Caenorhabditis elegans: one gene and its partner. The protein of the gene in region 2 interacts with the protein of the main gene of each other region in a pairwise test. Each region holds a gene or a part of one and is shown on either strand. Other genes may lie near its edges. The genes, in order: rnp-3 and mog-2.

Evidence for each region.
Region 1: the proteins of mog-2 (region 2) and rnp-3 interact in a two-hybrid assay, tested with the Caenorhabditis elegans proteins (one study listed by BioGRID).

The regions. Positions count from the first base shown.
Region 1 is NC_003282.8:4,172,057-4,175,979, forward strand, and holds the start of rnp-3 (RRM domain-containing protein), read left to right. Parts: upstream 1-2,032; 5' UTR 2,033-2,038; coding exon 2,039-2,105; intron 2,106-2,683; coding exon 2,684-3,110; intron 3,111-3,923. Other genes in the region: rnp-2 (RRM domain-containing protein), read left to right, coding at 52-228, 278-340, 417-637, 1,683-1,842.
Region 2 is NC_003280.10:4,322,667-4,326,589, reverse strand, and holds mog-2 (putative U2 small nuclear ribonucleoprotein A'), read right to left. Parts: upstream 2,230-3,923; 5' UTR 2,224-2,229; coding exon 1,994-2,223; intron 1,255-1,993; coding exon 723-1,254; 3' UTR 548-722; downstream 1-547. Other genes in the region: H20J04.6 (Transmembrane protein 222), read right to left, coding at 2,674-2,883, 2,932-3,057, 3,108-3,192, 3,245-3,330. UniProt on the Caenorhabditis elegans protein: This protein is associated with sn-RNP U2. It helps the A' protein to bind stem loop IV of U2 snRNA. Required maternally for early embryonic development and zygotically for germline and somatic development. Has a role in the switch from mitosis to meiosis.

The DNA of each region.
Region 1 (3,923 bases), on a different chromosome or scaffold from region 2:
CCCAGTATTTTTTCAATTTTTCCGATAAAAATACAAATTTTCCAGCTAACAATGGCAGAAGTTGCGCCGAACAGCACTCTGTACATCAACAATCTCAACGAGAAGATCAAAATCGATGAGCTGCGAAAATCGCTCGTCGCCGTCTTCAAACAATTCGGCGAAATTGTCAGTGTGATGTGTTTCAGGACGCTGAAGATGCGCGGGCAGGCTCATGTGATTTTTAAAGAGGTTTTGCAGAAAATCCGAGACTTTTCCCTAAATATTGAAGAATTTTCAGCTCCCCGCCGCATCTGCCGCCCGAGAAGCGTTGAATGGTTTTCCATTTTACGAAAAGCCAATGGTACTATATTTATCGATTTAATTTCGATTTTCTCATTTTTCTCCGCTAAATCCCGCTGAAATATCGATTTTTCCAGAGAATTCAATTCGCAAGGGAGGATTCTGACGTCGTCGCCCAGGAAAAGGGGACATATATCAAGCGGGAGCCCAAATATCTATCGGAGAAGATTCTGAAGAAGCCAAAGAGCCGAAAGAAGGAAAATGGAGGCGATGGACCAGCGCCGCCCAACAAAATCCTATTTTGCACGAATCTTCCAGATTCGGCGACCGCTGAAATGCTTGAGATTATGTTCAATCAGTGCGTGGCGTTTTTCCAGCTGAAAAATTGAAAAAATTGGCTGAAAATTCGAGATTTTCACGAAATTTGCTCCAAAATGTTGATTTTTCAGTCAGAAATAGATGTTTGGGCAGTTTTTCTCAAGCTTTTTTCCGATAAAACTGGAAATTTCACGTTTTCTGCTGAAAATCATGGAATTTTACCTAAAAATTCATTTTTCGGCTTAAAATTACGAATTTTATTTTAAAAATTAGCGTTTTTTTGCTGAAAATCGATAAATCAAAAAGTACAAAAATCTAAAATTTCGTAAGAAAAATTGCATTTTTTTTTCCCTAAAAATTCAATTTTAACTCCAAAAATTGAATTTTCCCCGTTTTTCACTCAAATAGTCACCTTTTTGGCTGAAAATCACGATTTTTAGCTCTGAAATTTGATTTTTCAGCGGAGATTTGTAATTTTCGTCTTAAAATGTAAATTAACGGCTCTAAAAATAATATTTTCCACTATTTCCACTCAAAACTTCCAAATTTTTTTCCGAAAATTACGATTTTCTTCTCAAAAATTGAATTTTTCAAGTAAATTTGGAAATTGTTGGTTGAAAATCCGATTTTTCCCTAATTTTCACACGAAAAATCTTTTTTTTGGGCTTAAAATGATGAAAATTGTAAATCTTCGACTTAAATATCACCTTTTAACTGCATTTTCACACCTTTTCACTCAAAAATTTCAAAAATTTGATTGAAAACCATGATTTTTAACCTAGAAATCGCATTTTTCTACTGATAATTTAGAAAATTTTGCAGAAATTCTCATTTTTTAACTCAAAAAAACCTCCATTTTCCCCTTAATTTTCATCATAAAACCCCAATTTTTTAAAAACAGTTTTGAGTGGAAAAGTCACCTTTTTGGCGAATTTTTCAAGTAAAATTAGAAACTTTTGGCCGATAATTTCAATTTTTAACTCTAAAATTGGGAAATTTCAAATTTCCGGCTGAAAATCTCGATTTTTAACTCAAAAAAGCCCGTTTTTTCCCCAATTTTCACTCAAAAATTCAAATTTTTCCAGATTCGCGGGTCTCAAAGACATTCGAATGGTTCCAAATCGTCCAGGAATCGCTTTTGTCGAATTTGACACAGATTCTTTGGCAATTCCAGCACGTACAACACTCAATAACTTCAAAATCTCGGCGGAGCACACGATGCGTGTCGATTACGCTAAAAAATAAATGGATCTCTCTGGAATTTGATGAAAATTTTAATTTATATATATTCATATATTCAAATGTTAAATATTAAATTTTTTTCAAAAAATCGATTTTTCTGTTTTTTTTTTTGCGATTTTTCGTGGTTTTTTGCCATTTTTCCATATTTTTCACCATTTTTTCGCCCTTTTTTCGACTTTATCCACTTTTTCAGGTTAAAATGGCCGACATCAACCCGAATCACACGATCTATGTGAACAATCTCAATGAGAAAGTCAAGAAAGATGGTACGGACGATTTTTAGCGTGGAAAAATGGATTTTTGCGAAAAAAAAACTGGACAAAAGAATGGAAAATTCCCATTTTCAGCTAAAATTGCAAAAAAAGTTTTCTCTATTTAAAAACGTTTTTTTTTGTGATTTTAGCTGAAAAATTGCCTTTTTACAGTGATTTTCATAAAATTGAATTTTCTGTAATTTCGCACTATTTTTGATTAAAAAATTGAGTTTTTCATTAACTTTTAAAAAATTCAGCTGAAAAATAAATATTTCCCCTTTTTTGCGAAAAAAATTGAAAAAATACAATTTTTGTTGCTGAAAATCCGGAAAATCCTCGTAAAGCTCAGTTTTTCAATTTTAAGTGCAAAAAATCGCAAAACTAAAAAAAAGTGAAATTTTTCTCATAAAAAATTCAAAATTTCGAACTTTTAACCTAAAAAACTCGAAAATTCACCAAAATTTCGAATTTTTCTCCAAAAACTCAAGAAAAATCGATTTTTTTCAACTAAAAAAATTCAAAACTTGTCCAAAAATTCGAATTTTTCACCTAAAAACCCCCAAAAAATTGCGAAAAACTCAATTTTTCAGAACTCAAACGCTCTCTTCACATGGTTTTCACACAATTCGGTGAAATAATTCAGCTAATGTCATTTCGAAAGGAAAAAATGCGCGGACAAGCACATATCGTCTTCAAAGAGGTCTCATCAGCGTCAAATGCTCTTCGAGCCCTGCAAGGATTCCCATTTTATGGAAAACCAATGAGAATTCAATATGCAAGAGAGGATTCTGATGTGATTTCTCGTGCCAAAGGAACTTTTGTCGAAAAACGACAAAAATCCACGAAAATCGCCAAAAAACCATATGAAAAACCGGCGAAAAATGGAAAATCGGCAGCGGAGCCGACTCAAAAGGAGCCGCAGGAGACTGACGGACCAGGATTGCCGAATAATATTCTTTTCTGCTCGAATATTCCAGAAGGAACCGAGCCAGAACAGATTCAGACCATTTTCAGCCAGTAAGTGGCTTTGGATCACTTTTTCAGCAAAAAAAAATTTCAAAAGTTGAAGGATTTTGAGCATTTTCAGCTAAAAAAGGTGTAAAAATCCGTCAAAATTGAATAAAATTGCTGGAAATTGAGATTTTAAGCTTTTTTTGCGAAAAAACTGTCTAAATTGAATAAGAAAGCAGAAAATTGTGATTTTCAGCTAAAAAATATACTTTTATTGCTGAAATTTCAATTTTCAGCCAAAAATCGAAATTTTGGGCTGGATTTCAATAATTGAGTCGAAAATCCGAATTTCAGCAAAAAATGTTAATTTTTTATTCTAAAAATCGAATTCTCGGCTGAAAATCGCATTTTTCAGCTAAAAAATATACTTTTCTTGCTGAAATTCAGAAATTTCAGCTTAAAAATCGTGGATTTTAGCCAAAAATGGAAATTTCCAGCTACAAATCCAAAATTTCGGCTGAATTTTAATATTTTAGGGAAAAATATGGATGTTTAGTGAAAATCTGAAATTTTCAAACAAAATTGATCAATTTTCTGCCTAAAAATCATCGAATTTTTGGCTATGTATTCGCAGAAAATCAAAAAATTCACAGCTAAAAATATTAAATTATATCTTGAAAATGTGTATTTTCAACCGAAGTATCCAATTTTCAGTAAAAAATCCAGATTTCCGGCTACAATTTTAAAGTTCAGCTGAGTTTCGTTTTTTTTTTCAGTCAAAAAACAAAATTTTTAGCTAAAAATCTGAAATTTGAGCTTTTTATGCCCGAATTCCCTGCCCAAAATGCCAAAATTTCATTCAAAATTCCGAATTTTCAC
Region 2 (3,923 bases):
GCAAAAAAACTAGTGAAAGCCGATTTATTTTTGAATTTCTCACCGATTTTCTACATTTTTGTATTTTCCGGCTTTTTTTATCGGTTTTTCATTGTCACATTTTCAGTCATTTTTCAGCAAAAAAAGTTGAAAACTCTAAAATTAGCCAAAAATCGATAGTTTTTGTGAAAAAAAAAGTCTAAAATTATCGATTTTTAGGGTAATTTTAGAGTTTTAACGCATTTTTTTAAGGGTTTTGAAGTTTTTTTTTTGCGGAAAAATGACAAAAAAACACAAAAAATGGATTATTTTAGGCGAGAATTCAAAAAAAAATCCGCGTTTTTTCCAATTTTTAAACCTTTTTTTTCCAAATAGATATTTGAAGGCGCTGGGAAGTTCCCAGTGGGAACCTCTCAAAATTAATAAAATAATAAAAAATAGCCGGAAAACACAAAAATGGCTGAAAAAGGATTTTTTTCTAACTTTTTGTTGCAAAAATTTCAAAAAATCAAATATAAAAAGGCACGGGGAACCTTTGAAAAATCGATAAAAATATCAAAAATAATAGGGGAAATATTGTTTTATGGTATATAAAAATTACAAAAAAAGGGAAGACAGACTGGGAAAAAATTGGAAAAAAATGAGAATATAAATAAAACAAGGAGTATCATTTTAACATTAAAAAAATCAAATAAAATAAATAAATAAATTTTAGCAGCACATTCTGCAATTTTCAAGATTTTTCAAGACTCCATCGCTTCCCCATCGGCACCATTCTGATCCATCTGACGATTCCATCCCTTTTCCGGAACCTTTCCCGATGCCAGAATCGACTGAAGATAGTTGACTTCACTGAGTGACTTGGCATTCTTGATCGCTTCCTTGATCTTCTCCCGATCTTCATCAGTAAGCCGAGCACCTCCACCCGAACTATTCTCATTTGGTTCAATTTCTGATGGATCTTCTGTATGAACACTCTTCTGAATCGCATCTCTCGCCTTCTTTCCACTTTTTCCTTTGAACATCTTCTTCGCAGCTTCACGTTCTGTCAGTCTGACTCGATTGAAGTCAATCACTCGAACCGTCGGCAGCTTGTAGATCATATACATCCGATAATTGTCCTTGTGAGTTATCGGATTTCCGATAAATGTCACGTACTCGAGCTTCTTGCATTCTGCCAGTGGCTCAATGTCTCCGAGCTCGCAAATGTTGTTGTTGGTCAGTGCAAGAGTTTTGAGATTTGGAAGTTTTGTGGCAATGTCGGGTGCGATATAGCTGAAAATATGGGGTAAATTGGTGGGAATGGAGCTCGAAAATGTGGGAAAAAAGCAGTTTTGCAATGAAAAATGGAGGGTTTTTAATTTTTTTTCAGGAAATAGTAACCATAAAATTTAAATTTTTGAAGAATAAATTAGAGAAAGTATTTTAAAAATTTGAAAATGACCAAAATTTTAGGATATTTTCTGAAAAATCGATTTTTTCCCCTACTTTCCGAAAAAAACTTCGATTTTTCGAAAAATGGCTTAAAATTTTTCGAACTTTTTCAGGAAAAAAATTATATTTTTCCTATGTTCTTTCATAAAAAACTGATTTTTTCGTTTTTTTTTTTTGGAAAAAATAGCGAAATCCGGCTAAATCTGAATTTTTCGCCAACTTGCCGAAAAAAAAATTTGGAAATTTCATGAAATTTCAGAGCAAAGAAACGTTTTTTTTTCAATTTTTTAAATTCAATTTAGGGAAGTTTGTCAGAATTTTCCGGTTTAAAATTTTTTAAAACCCTATTTCAAGCTGAAATCACCGAATTCTGCCAGGAAACCCCATTTTTCGGTACTTTTCAGTCGAAAATAACCAAAGTTGGGTACAAATCGACTGGAAAAGCACTAAAACACGGATAAATTGGCAAAATTGGAATTTTTAGCTAAAATTTGGGCTTTTCCAGCAAAATATGGTGCAAAATTCTATATTTTTAGCTAAATTTAGCCACTTTTCGCTCGTTTTTCGGAAAACTACGCACTTGATTCGATTATTATGAAGATACAGCGTATTCAAACGAGAAAACGTCGGAAAATTGTCCAATTTCCTGATATCGTTGTCAGTCAGATCGATGACATCGAATTGATCCCTCGTCACTCCCATATTCTCGATTACGGGGATTTTTTGGCCGCGCAAGTTGATCTCCCGCATATTGACCGAATTGACGAATTGTGGACGCTCGGCGAACAGCTCAGTCGTGAGACGGACCATTTTTCGCTGGAATTAGGGGGTTTTCAATGTAAAAAATAACAAAAAAACATAGAAGATAGACAAAAAGTCGGCTGCAAACCGGTTAAACATCAAGAAAACTTGAAAAAAATATATATGAAAATTACAGAAAAAAAATACATTTTACATAATATATCACACGAAATATTTAACAGTTGGACTATATTTTACATGAGATCAAATTATTCCACAAAATAGTCTATTTAACCATGTTTTTCAGCATTATTCACGAAAAATCAGTGTAAAAATATAGAAAATCCCTCGATTTCTCTGAAATTACCATTTATTCCAGCTGAAACGTCCATTTTTGTTCATTTTCTCAACTGTTTCGGCTGAAATAAATGCTGTTTCTAGATAAATCTAATTTTCAATGAAAATATGCTGGAAAACATAATGAAATAGGTCATTTTGTAGAATTCCCATGGTCAAAAATTATAAAAAAGCCCACAGCGCAACGAAAATGAAGACAATTATAACGAATGGAAGGTATTGAGCGAGCATATCCGTGTTACGAACGAAGCTTCCTTTTGTCAGTGAATACCACGCCAAATTGATCATATTCCAGTCCTCGCGCTCATCGTAGCGCATTTTGTTGAGAGCCAGAGCCACGTGCGAGTGACAATTATCGCAGATGAGATTGTGCTGGAAATAAATGAAATATTGATCGGAAAAATCGATTAAAAACCGTACAGTTCTAGTTTTATACGTGTCGGAAGCATCTTGAACTGCTCTATCGAAGACTTCCGCGCCACCTTCCACCTTTTCCGGGCCTAATTGCCAGTATCTTGTGGGCCAGCCGAATCCCATGTCGTCTTCCTAAAAATATTCTACTTTTTGGAAGTAATAAATTGAATTTGGGCACAAACCGCCACATAATAGCTCCCAGCAAAGTCTCGAATGATTCCACGGCTATTCGCGATTCCCATGTGGCCGATGAATGGGAAAAACCAACTGAAACAGCATTTTTAGCTGGATTATTGGGATAAAATTAGATATTTCCTACGTCAGGCATGGAATCGGAGTCCAAACAATGCAGTATGGATACCGATTGTTTTCTGGGCAGATGTCACGGTCGGTGAGCGGCATCATTGACCTAGAAATGGAGATAGACACTGGTGAATTGGAAAAAAACGAGCAGATCAGGTGATTAAAACGTTTAAAATGTATGAAACAAAATTTCGTGATAATTTTAAGCCGAAAAATCAAAAAATCGCCTCAAAATTGAAGGAAAACAATCGAAAAACGCAAAATTCTGGAAAAAAATAAATCGAAAATTCAAATGTCCGCAAACACCGCGCGGCGAAACTGCACACAATGCGCAGTATTGTACGCGCAAAAAACTTGGAATAATAAGAAAATTTAATATTTATTCGGCAACTAAAAATAGGAAAATTCTAATTTAATTGGAATTTTTATGAACAAAAAAGCCAAAGCGGAAATTAAACCCTACCGTACTACCCATTCCTAAAGGCGCATAAGTCTTTATCAGGCAAAGATCGAAAGAGATGCTATCAAATTGCGGTATGAATGGACAATATGTGCAAAGTACAAGCCAAGACAAACTGAATAACAATGAAACTGAAAAGGAAACACCAAAGTTGAGATAGGTAAATGTTGAAGATCCCGAAGGTTTTTCATCCAGGCGGGAGCAAAAAGTCTCTTTTTCAAGTTCACTTCTGAAT